2 linked regions of the Lonchura striata genome follow. The protein of the gene in region 2 purifies or fractionates together with the protein of the main gene of each other region. This does not show direct contact. Links are inferred from orthologs where the notes say so. Each region holds a gene or a part of one and is shown on either strand. Other genes may lie near its edges.

The links. Proteins that work in one complex are often made in the same cells at the same time.
Region 1: the proteins of PPP1CA (region 2) and PEAK1 purify together in Homo sapiens (affinity purification with mass spectrometry; 3 studies listed by BioGRID and IntAct, counting the BioPlex papers as one, with this or other methods). This does not show direct contact. The link is inferred for Lonchura striata from reciprocal best matches to the Homo sapiens genes PPP1CA and PEAK1.

The regions. Positions count from the first base shown.
Region 1 is NC_134613.1:5,200,875-5,208,721, reverse strand, and holds the start of PEAK1 (inactive tyrosine-protein kinase PEAK1), read left to right. Parts: upstream 1-4,834; 5' UTR 4,835-4,958; intron 4,959-7,847. UniProt on the Homo sapiens protein: Probable catalytically inactive kinase. Scaffolding protein that regulates the cytoskeleton to control cell spreading and migration by modulating focal adhesion dynamics. Acts as a scaffold for mediating EGFR signaling.
Region 2 is NC_134608.1:53,829,735-53,836,946, forward strand, and holds PPP1CA (serine/threonine-protein phosphatase PP1-alpha catalytic subunit), read left to right. Parts: upstream 1-4,227; coding exon 4,228-4,282; intron 4,283-4,767; coding exon 4,768-4,899; intron 4,900-4,983; coding exon 4,984-5,214; intron 5,215-5,419; coding exon 5,420-5,524; intron 5,525-5,611; coding exon 5,612-5,835; intron 5,836-6,274; coding exon 6,275-6,409; intron 6,410-6,531; coding exon 6,532-6,642; 3' UTR 6,643-6,713; downstream 6,714-7,212. Other genes in the region: CARNS1 (carnosine synthase 1), read right to left, coding at 202-464, 617-894, 2,031-2,124, 2,285-2,378, 2,485-2,931, 4,124-4,229; cell cycle checkpoint control protein RAD9A, read right to left, coding at 6,945-7,043, 7,116-7,212. UniProt on the Homo sapiens protein: Protein phosphatase that associates with over 200 regulatory proteins to form highly specific holoenzymes which dephosphorylate hundreds of biological targets.

The sequences.
Region 1 (7,847 bases), on a different chromosome or scaffold from region 2:
AACACACCACCTTATATCCAAGGCTTCAAAACAGCAGCCAAGGGAATTTCAAGAGGAACAAATCATTTATTTCTTAAGTAACAAACACAAAAATTCACAAAAAACTCACTAATTCATGCCATACTACTTACATGAAATAAAAGGAACTATAGACCAGAGACAGCCAAATCAGACCTGCCTTAATCACTATTTGGTTAAGACTGAGAGCCCCTCCAAACAAAGCCTGGCAAGTTCTACAGATGACATTTTGAAGGGCAGTTAAAAACTGTTCCCTTTCTTTTGGCTGCAGACAATCCCTCAGACACCACCGTATAATTAAAGCTATGAATTTATCATCTTTTCGTATTTGAACACAATAATAAAACAAAAGTAGTCTTTTCCCCTGTTAATTCACTAAATTGTTGAGAAATCCTCTGTGTTTTGCACTTGTTAGGGGAAGAAAAAAAAATGTAAAAAAAATCCAGAAATAAATCCTGTCAGTCTTAAGCCTCTTGAAGTCAACTAATAACCAACACTTTGACTACCCTCATTCTCTTATGCACGTCACACATTTTTATTGACAGCAAGAAAGCTTTCTACTACTCAGTCTTGTGACTAAACCATCTTTTGTCATTTTCATGCTATCCCAGTATCCTGAACTGCAGGCTAAGGATGCCCATTGCTCATCTCATTAATTATCCCAGTCATGATGCATAAAAGGCACATTGCAGTGTCTTAGATTTACACTCCCTTTTACATGAAGAGACAGTATAGACAATGCAAGACATAAGAATTTCAAAAACAGTGAAATATAAGGTTTATTTTGCAATTCACTGTATGCCAGGAAAGATATATTGTCTAAAAAGACTGAAATCAGTCAGCCAAAGTCAGCTCTTGCCACAGTCTCCTGCAAAACAGTGCAAGATTTCTTGTTTCTAGGATTAAAATCATTAATGAAGGCAACACAGCACAGGCTCCTTTTAACATATTTACTATTAAAACACTCTTGCGAATAATGTTCCTAATGTTTCTGAAAGACAGGTTTCTTTCCAAATACATCAAAATTTGCAAAAGTAAGGTCAAGGAACAAGGAAGATTTCCTAATAAATTCAGAACTTGGAAGAAATTCAGGTATTCCACAGTTAAGTAGTTTTGTTTCCCTGTAACACAGAATGAAGATTTCTCACAAATAAACACATTCATAAGTAGGGGTAGCTGCAATTCATCAAAAGCTGTCCTTGTCAAACTGGTACCAAGTAGACCTTCGGAAATCAAATGTCAGTCTCAGCTTTGCCCCTAACAGCTATGAACAGTGCAAGTTATTCCTTTAACAAGAATTAGTCATCTGTGGGATTAATGTGCATACAAATAGCTTTACCATATACATCCCAGCAATCCCATTATGCAAGAGATTAAAACAGACTGGTCTGGAAATGAAATGCTTGCCACCAGCCCCTGGCAGGAACACTGTCATTGCAGGCACAAACCCAGATCTGGCTGGTTTGCCCTCTCAGAATTCAAGGTCCAGTATCAGACTACAAGTTTGCACCACAGAATACAGAATTCGGAATACAGAAGGGACCCACAAGGACCATCGAGGCCAGCTCCCAGTAAAAACTAACAGCTACCATCAGAGCCAACAGCTGTGCTGCTGATGCCACTGGACATGAAGGAGCCACTCCTGGAGTCAGACAACACAATATGGCCAACACTGCTCACCTTGCCACGGAGCCTGACCTACATCAATAAAGCTTTAGCTACCAGTTGACTGTGTATTTCAAATAGCCATCAACTAGCCTTACCTGCTTTCATAAACCAATCCTCTCAAAAAAACAGTGGCTTCTGAAAACAAACTACACTTAGTAATTCATACCTCATGTTGAATTGTGTTTATTGATCACTCTTCTTGTCTTAAAAATAGCAGAAGTTTAACAGCTCCCAAGAACATAAGAAACATTTCCCCTCTCTTTCTAAGGGAAATCATGGAAGTAAAAAAATTTAAAAAGCTAGAAAGAATTCAGAGAGCAACTTCATTTTGGGACTCCCAAGCCACTCGCATTTCAGATTGAAACAGCATTTTATTAAAGGTACATGAACAACTGGGGAAAAAAAAAAAAAAAGACAACCTTTCTGTATTCACCTACTGCACTCAAAATTGTACAGGCCTGTTTCTTTGAGTCACCCATCCCTCCCACAGATCATTATCAAGAGGGTCTCTATTACTTTATTCTCTAACAATTCCTCAAAGCACATGCCACAACACTCAAAAACACCAAGCACAGCTCTGTGTGCATGGCAGCAATACTTAAATTTTTCACCCACAGCCTGGAGAGGGCAGGAGGGTGAAACAGCAAGAATTCAGAAACTTGTATGAGCCTGTAAACTTGAGAAAAATCCCATTGAATAACTGGTCCTAAAACAGTTTATTTATTCCTATTTAGTCAAGAAGAAGCAATTAGCATGGAAAGGCTGAGCCGGTGTGGCAGGTGAGGAGACACACCCTGCTAATGGGCACTGGATACTGAGTGACCCTTTATTTAACTTCACTGGGAACAGACACTAACAAAGGTTACAAAGTCAAGCCCAGCACATCAGTGCACAATGTTCTCCATTCCTGTGCTCTGATACTTAAAGTAACATCGTGATGCTGTACAAGCAAAAGCACAGCTCACAGTCAGTGCTGGCATCCAGCAATCCAGAAGCACGAGGCGATCAGCTCCTCTCCTCAGTTCTGGGGGCAGTCCTGGCCAGCCATACACAGCAAGCCTGAGCTGGGCCAGGGAAGATCCCCTGCAAGAGCAGAAGGTGGAAAACAGTGAGAATCTCTCTCCTTGTGGTTGCTTTACTGCAGAGCACCAGAAATTGTTATAGTCACCTTCTAACAGTTAGGTACACCCAGGAGCTGGACCCAAGCATCAGGTACCTAAAAGAACACAATTCTCTGCTCTCTTTTTTGAGCCACAAATGTTATCACCACATACCCTCTGTGTGCCCCGCCACGGGCAACCAAAGGAACAAAAAATCCACTTATAACCAAGACAGTGTGGTCAGATCACACAACCTCTCATTTTTCTGTTTTGAAAACTACTGGGATCCTAAATAAAAGTTAACTTAGGATTTTAAAGACTAATCAAAATACTCTGTTTTGCACACCATTTCTAAGCCAAACTTCTCAAGTTCTATTTCAAGGCATGCCGGATTTCTAAGGACAGGGGGGAAAAAAATTATCAGATTACCCCAATTTCCTGAACTCGGAATTATATTCCACCAAGTGATATAGTTCTGTAAATACAAAATATCTCATCCCTTCTAACAGACATATGATACAGGTGTGAAAAAAGCCAAGAGAAGGTAAAAAAGCATTTCACTATCATTTTACCATCTTCAAATAGGTTGTACCCCTGCACACGTGGCCAGGATTAAAAAAGAAAACATATTTCTTTTCATCGGCAGTTTATGTTTACATTCTTTAGAATGATGACTTCAGAAGAATTTGCACAGTGGTCAAGGGGGTCATATGCAAAGCAAACCAAAAATCTGCATTTTCTGCAGCTTTATGAAATAATGTCTTAAAATACCATCTCTGTTTCACTTTTGTCTTATCCTTTCTCAATTTCTATGTCTGAGTACGTTTTATAATCTATCAGAAGAGCACTACGTGTAGATAACTGACGAACCAATAAATTTACATATTTGAGAGAGGCATGATAAAAAGCATTCTTTATTGACAGGAATGGGCAGCCAAAAACGCTGAAGGACGCTACTCTAGAGAGCAGGAGCTCTTTTATTTATATTCGCCCTGCCCTTCCTCCTTTCCACTCTCGCGCTGGTTTTCCAGAGGACGGGAATGAATGGCGCCTCGCAAGGCACGTGGCCCCGGTGTCTTCAGCCCCAGGGCCGGGGCTTCTTTTTACCACCTCGACACAAGAGACTCACTCCCCCAGGGACGGGGAACTGAATGTGGAAACCTGGACAGAAGTATAAGAAAACCACGCTATAACAAATCACCTGCTTGACAAGGGAACGTTAAGTGGACCTACAGAAAGGACAAATAAATAGAACCAAGGGAGCCATGAAATATCGCTTTGGGGGAACCGTGGAAAGATATATAATGGAGAATACGGAAAGCCAAGCACTTAGACCCTCATCCGGTTCTTCCCCCTCACCCCCCGTGAGCTCCGGCGGCTCCCCCAGCCCCCCTCACGGCGGGCCACAGCACCCGCAGCCGCCCGCCGACTCCTTGCCGGCCGAGGAGGGGCGGCGGGCCCGCGGCCGTCCCCACTGACCTGCCGGCGGCGGCTCTGGCGCAGGGCCGGGGTCCCGGGGGCGGCCGCGTCCCCTCAGCCGGGTCCCCTCAGCCCGCGCAGCCGCCGCGCGTCCTGCACGCGCCCGCCGCCTAACAACTCCGCCTGCTCGGATCCCTCCGCTCCCGCCTCAGAGCGGCCCTCTCGCCTCCCCCAGAGGAGCCCCTCGGGAGAAGGCCCGCAAAGCCGAGAGGGCTCCCGGCTCAGCGCCCGCCGCTCCGCTCCCTCAGCGGCCCAGCGCGGGGCTGGAGCTCAAACCACGCAGCGGGACTACTTCACCACCGCAGGCGGAAGCACACACTTTCTGCACACGCACGCGCGAGATGACGGTACGTATTTAAAGGCCCGCGCGCGGTGCGCATCGGGAATTGTAGTCTTATCACGGCGGTTCCCCTGGCCGCCCGAGGGCCTCGCGCCGCCCCGCGATGGCGCCACGCCCTCTCGCTGCCGGCGGCCAATGAGCGATCGGGGGGCGGGGCTCCCCGCCGCGGTGCGCGCGCGGGGGGCGGCACCCGGAGTTGGTTGTTGCGCGCGGGCGCGGCGGTCGCAGCCCCGTCCCGGGAGCCGCGTCCTCGGCGGGCCCGGCGGGAACGGCACCGAGCCCGCACGGAGCCGCCTGGGCGCAGCCGCCGCCTCCTCGCGGGAGGCGCCGCGGGGCCGGCGAGCCCCTGCCAGGTGAGGGGCGGGAGGGGGTGACGACCCCTCGCGCCGTGAGGGGAGGCCGGGGGGCGGCGGCGGTCCGCTTTCCTCCGCGGGGCCGCGGGCGGGGGCACCGAGCGGGGCTCCGGCGAGGCGCGGCCGCCGCCTGCCCGTCACTCCCTCCCCTCGGGTCCCCCGGCGCCCCTCGCCCCGCCGCGGTCCCGGTCGCGGCGGCGCCCGCAGAGCCCGTCTGGCGCCGGCAGCCGCGCCGGGGCCCCGCGGGGCCGCGCCGCCCTCGCCCCCGCTGGCGGCGCGGGGCCCCGGTGCTCGCCGGCAGCCCCGGCGCTGCCCGAGCCCGCAGCGCGGCCGGGAGCGTGCGGCGCGGGCCCGCGCCCTGCCGGGGAGCGCCTGCCCCGCGCTGACACCTTCGAGGAATTTCCCGGGATAAAGCTGCTGTGGGTGCCGGGTGGATGCTGTTCCTGCCGGGGCTCTGTCCGTGCTCTGTTATTATTACGAATTACTGACTTGAAAGGCTTTACGTGTTAGCGTGTACGTGTGTAGCTGCATTCCATCCTCTCGGTCCTTTCTCTCGAAGGTTATTTTGGATTTGTATGTGGGTCGGTCTGTTTGCCAGTTTTTACTGAGGGTGAAGTTGAGGCTGGGCTGGGAAAGCTGGGATTTGCGCTGGGACAGCAAATGAAACGATGTGAATACTTTGCAGTTCTGTTAGTTGTGGAGCAGCTGATATTTGATGCAGAATGGCCAGGCTGCTCCAAGGTGAGCACAGGGGCAAGGGGGAATATCGTCTGGTGGATCTCTGACTTCGAATTTAATAGGGGGATCCTTCTCAGAGATCATAGTTTGTGTTTGCTTTAGGTCTTTGCCATTTACTTTTATAGAGCTCATTCTTCTTTAATTGCTTTCTAAGTGCCTCCAAAGTTTTTCCCCTTCCTCACTGAGGCATAAAGGCTGTCTAATGTCTGCTAAAACACTTCATTCCCAGATATTTACAGAAAAAATAACATACAGAGATATATGGGCATGAAGGAAAGAACACACAGATGTTTTAGGAAACAAGACTTTATGGAATTCCAATAATTAGTTTCTATAGTTAGAAAGTTTAACTTGCTTAAAATTGCCAGCTGAACAGCTACCTTTGTGACAAACTGGATGTACTTCCTTCTGTGTGACTTATGACTTAAAACCTCCTCTAGACAGACTGAATCAAGAGGTGTAGCAAGAGCAGCAAATACTTGTGGAGATTGTACATGATTGTATGGAATTGTTAGAGCTCTTAATCTAGTTTCATACTGGCTTAAAAGCTTGTGTCTGTAAAGTAGGTGAGTTGTTTTATCCAGATGAAGCATCTTCCTGGCAGAGTTACTGCTCAGTGTGTTTTCAGGAAAACTTTGTTTTATTCTCTAAAATACAGAACTATGCAAGAAGGAATTACCAGTTTTCCATGAGTAACTTTCCATGATTAATCTTATGTATTCATTTCCTGATGGCTTTACCTTATTGCTAGATTATCCCATGTAGATGACTTCATTCACAGACTTCCTAAAATACCTTTTTAAACAGATCTCTTTGGCCTAACTACACCTTCCTCACCTGAACAGCAGTGGCAGGTGGGGTGTGATTCCTGAGCCTGGGCAGGAGCTGCCAGCTGCAGAACAAAGAGCCAGCAGACTTTGCTGCCTGGCCTGGCTGCAGGTAGGCACTTTAACTCAGCTGCAATTCATAATGGATGCAAGGTTTGATTTAGAGCATACAGTTAGTTTGAAGGAGCAGCATTTCCTACATATCTGCCAGTTTAATGGTTCTTTCAGTGAAAGAGAGCAAAGGGACAAAATATCATTTCAACTTCTTGAGTAATTTGTGTTTCTTTTCAGCTCTTTAGAAAATCCATTTCCAGGCATGTTTACTAATATATGTATTATTTCCTGTTTACTTTCCAAGTAAGGGAATTGGTTGGAATCAGCAACTTAAAGAAAAATAAAGGGGGGGGGGGGTGTTTCTATTTGTCTAAATGACTCCTAAATGTTGACTAATTTTTTTTCCTCTAAACAAGATAGTAAAATATTATGATAGCTATTATAATCTATTGATAAGGGTCATAGACATCGACAGTTACTGTTAACCTTCTGTATCATGCTAGGAAAAATATGTATGTGGAAAGCTTAGTCTAAGTTAACAACTTGTAACATGTTTTCTCTACCTTGTTTCTGAACGTAACCGCCTGTGTGTCTCCTTTCCTTTTCCCTTTTCCTGTTTAGTCTTTGCTCTTAGGCTCCCTTTTCCCTCCAGCTGCCCCTCATCCCGGTTTAGGATCACACTATCCCATCTCTGCTAATGGCCCATGTCGTCTTTGCCCTTTTTTCTGAAGAGATAAGGATCTGCAGCTTTCCTCCGTGTCACTGCTTCTCTTGTTCTGATTGCTCTCTGATGAGGTTGGCTTGGTTTCAGGCGGTGTTAATAGTTTTTTTTTTAAGTGAGGCTGTTGGAGCCTCTCTTGCCCAGCCCCGGAGCAGGGAGCCCAGAGGATTGCCAGGCAGGGCTCCGAGGTGAGGGCTGTCTCCTGCCACCCCGCTGCCCCCACTTGCTGTGCTGCTGCAGGAATCCTGCCCAGCTGCTCCCTCCCGTGCAGTCGGTGTGTCAGAGCTGACATTCGGGTACGGGCAGGGCATTGAAATGCAAATGCCTCGGCTCTGACGGGGACGTGGTGCTGCGCTGCTGGAAAGCACTGGGAAGGTTGTGGAGTACCTGTGGTGTGAAAGGAGATGGTAAACAAAACAATTGACAGGGAAACTAAAAATTTAACTTTCTTATATCTCTGCTATTAACATTTCCAGATGTTTTTAACCTACTTTGAGGACAAAAGTAATAATCTGTAGAACATGTTTTGGTTTAATAGTTGAAGCAAAG
Region 2 (7,212 bases):
TGTCCCTGCCACCCCCGTGTCCCAACCTGGCACTGCGCCCACATCGCTGTCCCTGCCAGCCCCGTGTCCCAGCCTGGCACCGAGCCCACATCACTGTCCCTGCCACCCCCGTGTCCCAGCCTGGCACCATTCCCCCATCCCCACCCCAGTCCCTGCCACCCCCGTGTCCCAGCCTGGCACCGTGCCCCCCGTGTCCCCAACCCGTGCGGGGCTCCGCGGAGCAGTCCAGCGTGGGGGGCAGCCCCTCCTGGCACAGGGCGCTCTGGAGCCGCTCGTAGGCGTGGGTGGCACAGTCGGGGTCCCCACTGTCCCCGGGCACTTCGCCATCGGGGGCTTCGTCCTCCAGCCAGCCTGGGCACAGCGCCTCGGGCCCTGCCCACTCCTGCTCCTCCGGGCTGGGCACCCGCTCCGTGCTCGGCTGGGACGTCGAGAGCTGCGGGAGCAGGGACAGGGCTGGCACGGGGCTGGCACGGGGGTAAGGGGGTGGTATGGGGCTGGCGTGGGGTTAAGGGGCTGGCACGGGTCTGGCACGGAGCTGGCACGGGGACAGACCCCGTGTGGGCACGGGGCGTACACGGGGGGGCTGACACAGGACACAGCGGGCGCCGCTGCCCACCCGTGGGGTGGGGGCGTCGGGGTGCTGGGGGGCTGCAGGCGCCGGGCACGGCGCCACCACCTCGGGGACAACGGGGCAGTGCCAGCCGCCGGGGCCGCCAGCTCCCGGACAAAGCGTCCCCTTGTCCCCGCGGGGTCACGCGGCGGGTGGGCACAGCACGCTGCGCTGCCCGCTGCCCCACGCCAGTGCCCGGCACCGCCGGGATCCCGGGATGGGGCATCCACCTCCGCCCGGACCCCCCCACCCGGGGGCCACTCACCATCCTGGTGACAGAGGGGCTGCAAGAGAAGGACAGGCAGAGTCAGCGCGGCTCCCTGGGGACTTGCCACCCCTCCCTGGCCGCCCCCGGCCGGTGCTGGGAGCCCCAAGCCCAGCTCCCGTGGAGAGACCTGTCCTGCAGCACCCACCAGAGCCTGGCACCCTTCCTGGGGCACACCTCGGTGCCAGCTCCGCTGTCTTCATGTTGTCCCCTCAGCGCTAGTCTCAGTGTCCCCGCACTGACCCCTCGGTGCCAGTCCCTGTGGCCCCAGCTCGTCCCCTCTTTGACAGGTCTGGTGGCCCCAGATTGACCCCTTGGTGCCAGTCACGGTGGCCTCAGGTTGTTCCCTCGGTGCCAGCCCCGGTGGCCCCGGCACCTCCGGCTTAGTGTAATCCCGTGCCAGCTCAGCACAGCCGGGGGCACCTCCCCATCCCGGGGGTGCCAAGGTGCCCTGGGGGTGCAGACCCAGGGACCGGTTGTCCCCACCCCCCTGGTGCCTTCGCTCCCAGCAGGTGCCCGGCAGAGCTGGGCACAGAGGGAAACTGAGGCACGGAGCTGAGCGGTGCCCGCTGGCAGCCAGGATATCCCCAAGCCTGGCACCCGGTGACAGCGTTAGGGGACACACGGCTCGGTGGCGTGGCACAAGGGCCCCCCAAAACCCAGTCACGGGGGTCCCTCAAGGTCCGCGCCCCCCCAGCCGCGGGACCGCGCTGTCCCCCTCCATCCCCAGCTGGGAGGTGCTGCTGCTGTCCCCAAGCTGGGACAGCTGTGTCGCCCGGTACCTTGGGGTGGGAGCCGTGGCCTGAGAGCTCGCAGGGGACGAGGGCTCGGGGACGCCTGGCACAGGGGACGCCGGCCGGTCTGGCCTTTAAACCCCCCCGCGCCACCCCGGGGTGCCAACCCCCGGCCCCGTGCCCCGGATTAGGCGACACAGAGCCTCATTGTCCCCTCTGCCACCTCGCGCCAGGCGCTGGCACCCCTGTCCGTGTCCCTGTCCCCGTCAGTAGCGAGCTGCCTCAGCGGGAGCCGGGGGGAGGATCAGCCTGGCCGGGCTCTCCTGTCCCCCTGTCCCGCGTCCCCTGGCTGGGCACGCCCCTCGTCCTCCCCCCCGCCCTGTCCCCCTGTCCCCAGCGTGGCGGAGCTGCCAGCACGCACGTCCCCCGGCTTAGTTCCAGCTGCCCGCGGCGTCACTGTCACTGTCACCGTCACGGCCACCGGCAGGCACGGGGCCACCAGCGCGGCTGCCGTGCTGCAGAGTCCTGCACGCGCTGTCACCCGCTGCCTGCCACCCGCGCCACCCCCTGCACCCTGCCACCCTCATTGTCACCTGAACTGTCACGTGCGCCCTGTCACACACAACCCACCACGCACCGTCACCTGCACCACCACCAGGGTCTTGTCACCCGCACCTGTCACACACCTCGTCACCCACACGGCGACACCGCACCATCGCCGGCACCTTGTCACCTGCATCTGTCACCCGCCACTTGTCACTCATATCACCTACCTGTCACCCGCACTGCCACCCAGACCCCATAACCCGCACCATGTCACCGCACCGTCACCTGCACCCTGTCACCCTCACCGTGTCGTGAACATCATCACCCACCTGTCACCTGCGCTGTCACCGGCACCGTGTCGCAGGTGTGCACACGCACCCCGACCCCCATCCCGCTGCTCCCGCCCCCCGGCACCGGCACCCCCAAGCCCACCCAGATCACCCCCGCTGCCTTCAGCACCCACCGGTGCCGGTGCCGGTGTCTGTCGGTGCCGGTCTGTCCTGGTGTTGTCGCACCCGGCAGTGGAGCGGCTCTGCTCGCTCCGGTCCCGGCGGTGTCGGGGTCTGGTGGGGTTTCCCGGTGTCGGTCCCGGTGCTGTCGCAGCCCCAGCAGCGGCTCTGCCCGCTCCGGTCCCGGCGGTGGCGGCGGTGCCGTGTCCTGCTCGGGCGGGGCGGGGCGGGGCGGGACCGGGGGCACCGGGGGGACCGGGACACCGAAGGGGGTGGCAGAACAAAGGGGGCAGCGGAGGTGAGGGTGGCGGAACCGGGGTGCCACCGCTGGGAGACGGGGACAAGGGACTCGGGTAGGGAGTGGGACAAGGGACGGGGATAGGGACGGGGGTAGGGGACAAGCGTCCGGAGGCAGGGACGGGGCCAGCCCGGGGTCACCCGGGGCCGGGTGTAAAACTGACACCGCGAAGCAGAAATGTCAGGGCAGGTCCCGGGAGCTATTCGCGACCTCCCCGCACGACATGGAATGGGACGCGGGGAATGGCATGGCGTGGCACGGCGTGGCACCCTGGGAATGGCACCCAGGGAATGGCACGGCGTGGCAAGGCATGGCACAGCCAGTGTGGACAAGGGACAGCCATGACCCCATCCCTGCCACTGCCACCGTCCACGAGCGGTGGCACAAATGTGTCACCCTCCCCCGTGTCCCCGGTGGGGACACGCCCTTCGGGGTGTCCCCGGGGACCTCAGCGTGGCGACAATCTCCCGGCAACCGCCCGGTGCTGCTCCCGACGGTGTCCCCAGAGTCCCCGGGTGGGGATATCCCTGGGCTCTACCAAGCATCCTGTCCCCTCGTGTCCTCCCGGGTCCCCAGGCTGTCCCTGCGCGCCCAGGACCGGGATACAGATCCTCGGTTCCCTCTGTGTCCCCTCCTGTCCCTCGCAGTCCCGGGAACCTCTGTCTATCCTGAGGCTGTTCCCCTCCCACTCCCTCCCTATCCCTGTGCCCCCAGGCCAGGATACGAGTCCATGTCCCCCGTGTCCCCTTGCCCGAGCTCTATCCCTTGCCCGGCGTGTCCGCCTGCCCGGGTTGTAGAGAACAACGCAGGATGTCGCCTTTCCCAGGATGTCCCCTTTCCCAGGACGTCCTCCGCTCCAGGGAAGTCCTTCAGCCCGGCACGTTCTCCTTTCCAGCGAAGGCTCTCTGCCCGCGGTGTCCCCCTTGCCCGGGAATATCCCGTTGCCGCGGTGTCCCCTTTCCCAGGACATGTCCCTCTGCCAGGGGTGTCCCTCTGCCCGGGGTGTCACGTTTTCCCTGCTCGGAATGTCCCCCTGCGGAGCGTGTCCCCGTGCCCCTGCGCCCCCGCCGCGGCTCGCTGCTGCCGGTGTCCCGCGGCTCGCTGCTGCCGGTGTCCCGCGGCTCGCTGCTGCCGGTGTCCCCGCGGCTCGCTGTTGCCGGTGTCCCGCGGCTCGCTGCTGCCCGTGTCCCCGCCGCGCCGTCCCCGTTTCCCCCGGGGCACCGGGGCCGGCCGGGCTGCAGCGACTCCTCCGGGCCGGCAGGGGGCGGGCGCGCGGCGGGGCCGCTGCGGGCGGGCGCGCGAGGCGGGGCGGCGCGCGGGCGGCCATGGCGGACACCGAGAAGCTCAACCTCGACTCCATCATCAGCCGCCTCCTGGAGGGTGAGCGGGCCCCCGCCGCCCCCCCGAGCGCCGGGACGCCCTCCCTCCGCTCCCGGAACCTCTCGCGGCCGGCTCGGGCCGCGTCCCAACGCCGCGGGGGGAGTCCCCGGCCCGGGCCTGGCGGGGGCGGGTTAGGCCGCGGTGGTTCGGGGGGGGGTCAGGGCTGGGAAAGGTTTTGGGGGGTTCCCATGGGGCCTGGGCAGCCGGAGATGAGTCCGGGGGATGTGGGGGATATGAGGCGGGATACCGAATGGGTTTGTGCCCCGCGGGAGGGGGCTGGGGGAAATGGGGGGTTCCCAAAGGGTCTGTGCCCCGCGGAGGGGCACTGGGGGGCCCCGAAGGGTCTGGGGGCTGGAGCTGAGCCTGCAGGGCGTGGGGGATACGGGCAGGGAGGGCTGGGGCAGCTGGAGAAGGGGTTCCCGGGGTGCTGTAGGTGTCCCCGAGCCCTTGGAGATCCCTGATCCTGTTCTCTGTGCTGGGAGCAGTCCAAGGATCGCGGCCGGGGAAAAACGTGCAGCTGACAGAGAACGAGATCCGCGGGCTGTGCCTCAAATCCCGGGAGATCTTCCTGAGCCAGCCCATCCTGCTGGAGCTGGAGGCACCCCTCAAGATCTGCGGTGAGGCCTGCACGGCTGCTGGGCAGCACTGGGCTGGTGCGGGGGGCTGCAGGGTGCCACTCACAGCCTGTGTCCCCCCTCCAGGTGACATCCACGGGCAGTACTACGACCTCCTGAGGCTCTTTGAGTACGGGGGCTTCCCCCCTGAGAGCAATTACCTATTTTTGGGCGACTACGTGGACCGGGGCAAGCAGTCCCTGGAGACCATCTGCCTGCTGCTTGCCTATAAAATCAAGTACCCCGAGAACTTCTTCCTGCTGCGGGGCAACCACGAGTGTGCCAGCATCAACCGCATCTATGGCTTCTATGATGAGTGTGAGTGCCCGGGCTGTGCCCCCCAAAACCCCACTGCCATCCCTGGGCTCCCCCTTTCCCGGTGTCATCCCAGTGCTGTCCCACACTGACCCCACCTGTGACCTCCTTCCCTCCCCACCATGTCTTCCTGCCCTTCCTCGGTGTCCTCCTGCCCACCCCCAGGCTGTCCCCTGGGTCACCTCCAAGCCCCCTTTGTGCCCCGCAGGCAAGCGAAGATACAACATCAAGCTCTGGAAGACCTTCACCGACTGCTTCAATTGTTTGCCCATTGCTGCCATCGTGGATGAGAAGATCTTCTGCTGCCACGGAGGTGGGAATGGCCCTTCCCAGGGGCTTGGGAGGGCTGGAGGAGGGTTGGGGTCTCCTTGCTGAGCTCTGGGGTGCCCCTTTCCCGCAGGGCTGTCCCCAGACCTGCAGTCGATGGAGCAGATCCGGCGGATCATGCGGCCCACGGATGTCCCGGATCAGGGGCTGCTCTGTGACCTGCTCTGGTCCGACCCCGACAAGGACGTGCAGGGCTGGGGGGAGAACGACCGTGGGGTCTCCTTCACTTTCGGGGCCGAGGTGGTGGCCAAATTCCTGCACAAGCATGACCTGGATCTCATCTGCCGGGCGCACCAGGTACCACCGGGACCCCCAGACACTGGGGACATGGGGGTTTGGGTCTCCAGTGGGTGTCAGGTGGTTCTACCCCGAGTGTTTCCCCTTCAAGGGCAGTGTGCACCCCAGGAGTGTGTGGGTTGGAATTCTGGGGGTGTTTGTCCTGGGATTTGGGTATTTGCCTCAGCATTTGGGTGTTTGCTCTGATGTCAAACTATTTGCCCAGGGGGGATGAATAGTCACCCTGGGATGTGGCTGTTCCTCCCAGAGGCTGGATAATCGCTCTGGAGATGGATATTTGCCCTGGGGCAGTGGGTGTTTGTCCCAGTGCTGGCTGTTTGCTGCGGGGAAGGGAGCATTCACCTTGCTAGAGAGGGCTGGATTTCAGCCTGGGGGACTGGGAATACTGGGATAGTGGCCATGGGGGGTGGATTTTTGCCAACCCCGTGCCCCCCCCCAGGTGGTGGAGGATGGCTACGAGTTCTTCGCCAAGCGCCAGCTCGTCACCCTCTTCTCGGCCCCCAACTACTGCGGCGAGTTCGACAACGCCGGCGCCATGATGAGCGTGGATGAGACCCTCATGTGCTCTTTCCAGGTGAGCCCAGGGAGGGGAAACACCCCCAGTTCCTGCCGGGAGGGCTGCAGGGAGTTCTGCCCTCCAGGGCAGTGGAGAGCCGGGGTGGGAGCTCACTGATTTCTTTCCCCCTTCCCCCGCAGATTTTGAAGCCGGCCGACAAGAACAAAGGCAAATACGGGCAGTTCAGCGGGCTGAACCCCGCCGGACGGCCCGTCACCCCTCCCCGAAACTCTGCCAAAGCCAAGAAATGAGCTGGGAGCCGCCCCTGTGCTGCCCACGCCCCGCAGCCCCCCGCCCAAGCATCAGGTCGCTTTTCTTTCGACTCGTTTTTTTATTTGTAGGATCCTGCCCCCCTCCCGCCACGCTCCACCAAAGCAAATCCAGGCCCAGGGCAGGTAGAGCTGGGGCGAGGGGGGAGCCCAGAGCCCAGCCCTGGGGTGGCAGCAGAGGGGGGGGGCAGGAGGCTTTTTTGAGGAATAAACTTGTAATGGGTCACTGGGGGGTGCCTGTCCTGGTGGTTGGATGGAGGCTGGGGCTGGCAGTGACTCGGGGCTCAGCTTTCTCCATCGCTGTCCTCCGCCAGCACCTCCTGGGTGGTGGCCGGGCCAGGCCTCCCTGGTGTCATCACCGAGCCAAAAAACAGGGAGCGAAACTGTGGAGAAAAATGGAGGGTTCAGGAGGAGGCTCTGCCCACCCCCTGCCCCCAGGCACACCCATCCCTCACCCTTTTGTGCGGGGGGGTCCCTGGCACAGCTCCTTCCTCCTCCTCCTCCTCCTCCTCCTCCTCCTCCTCCTCAGGTTTGCTCTTGGCTGGCCGGGGG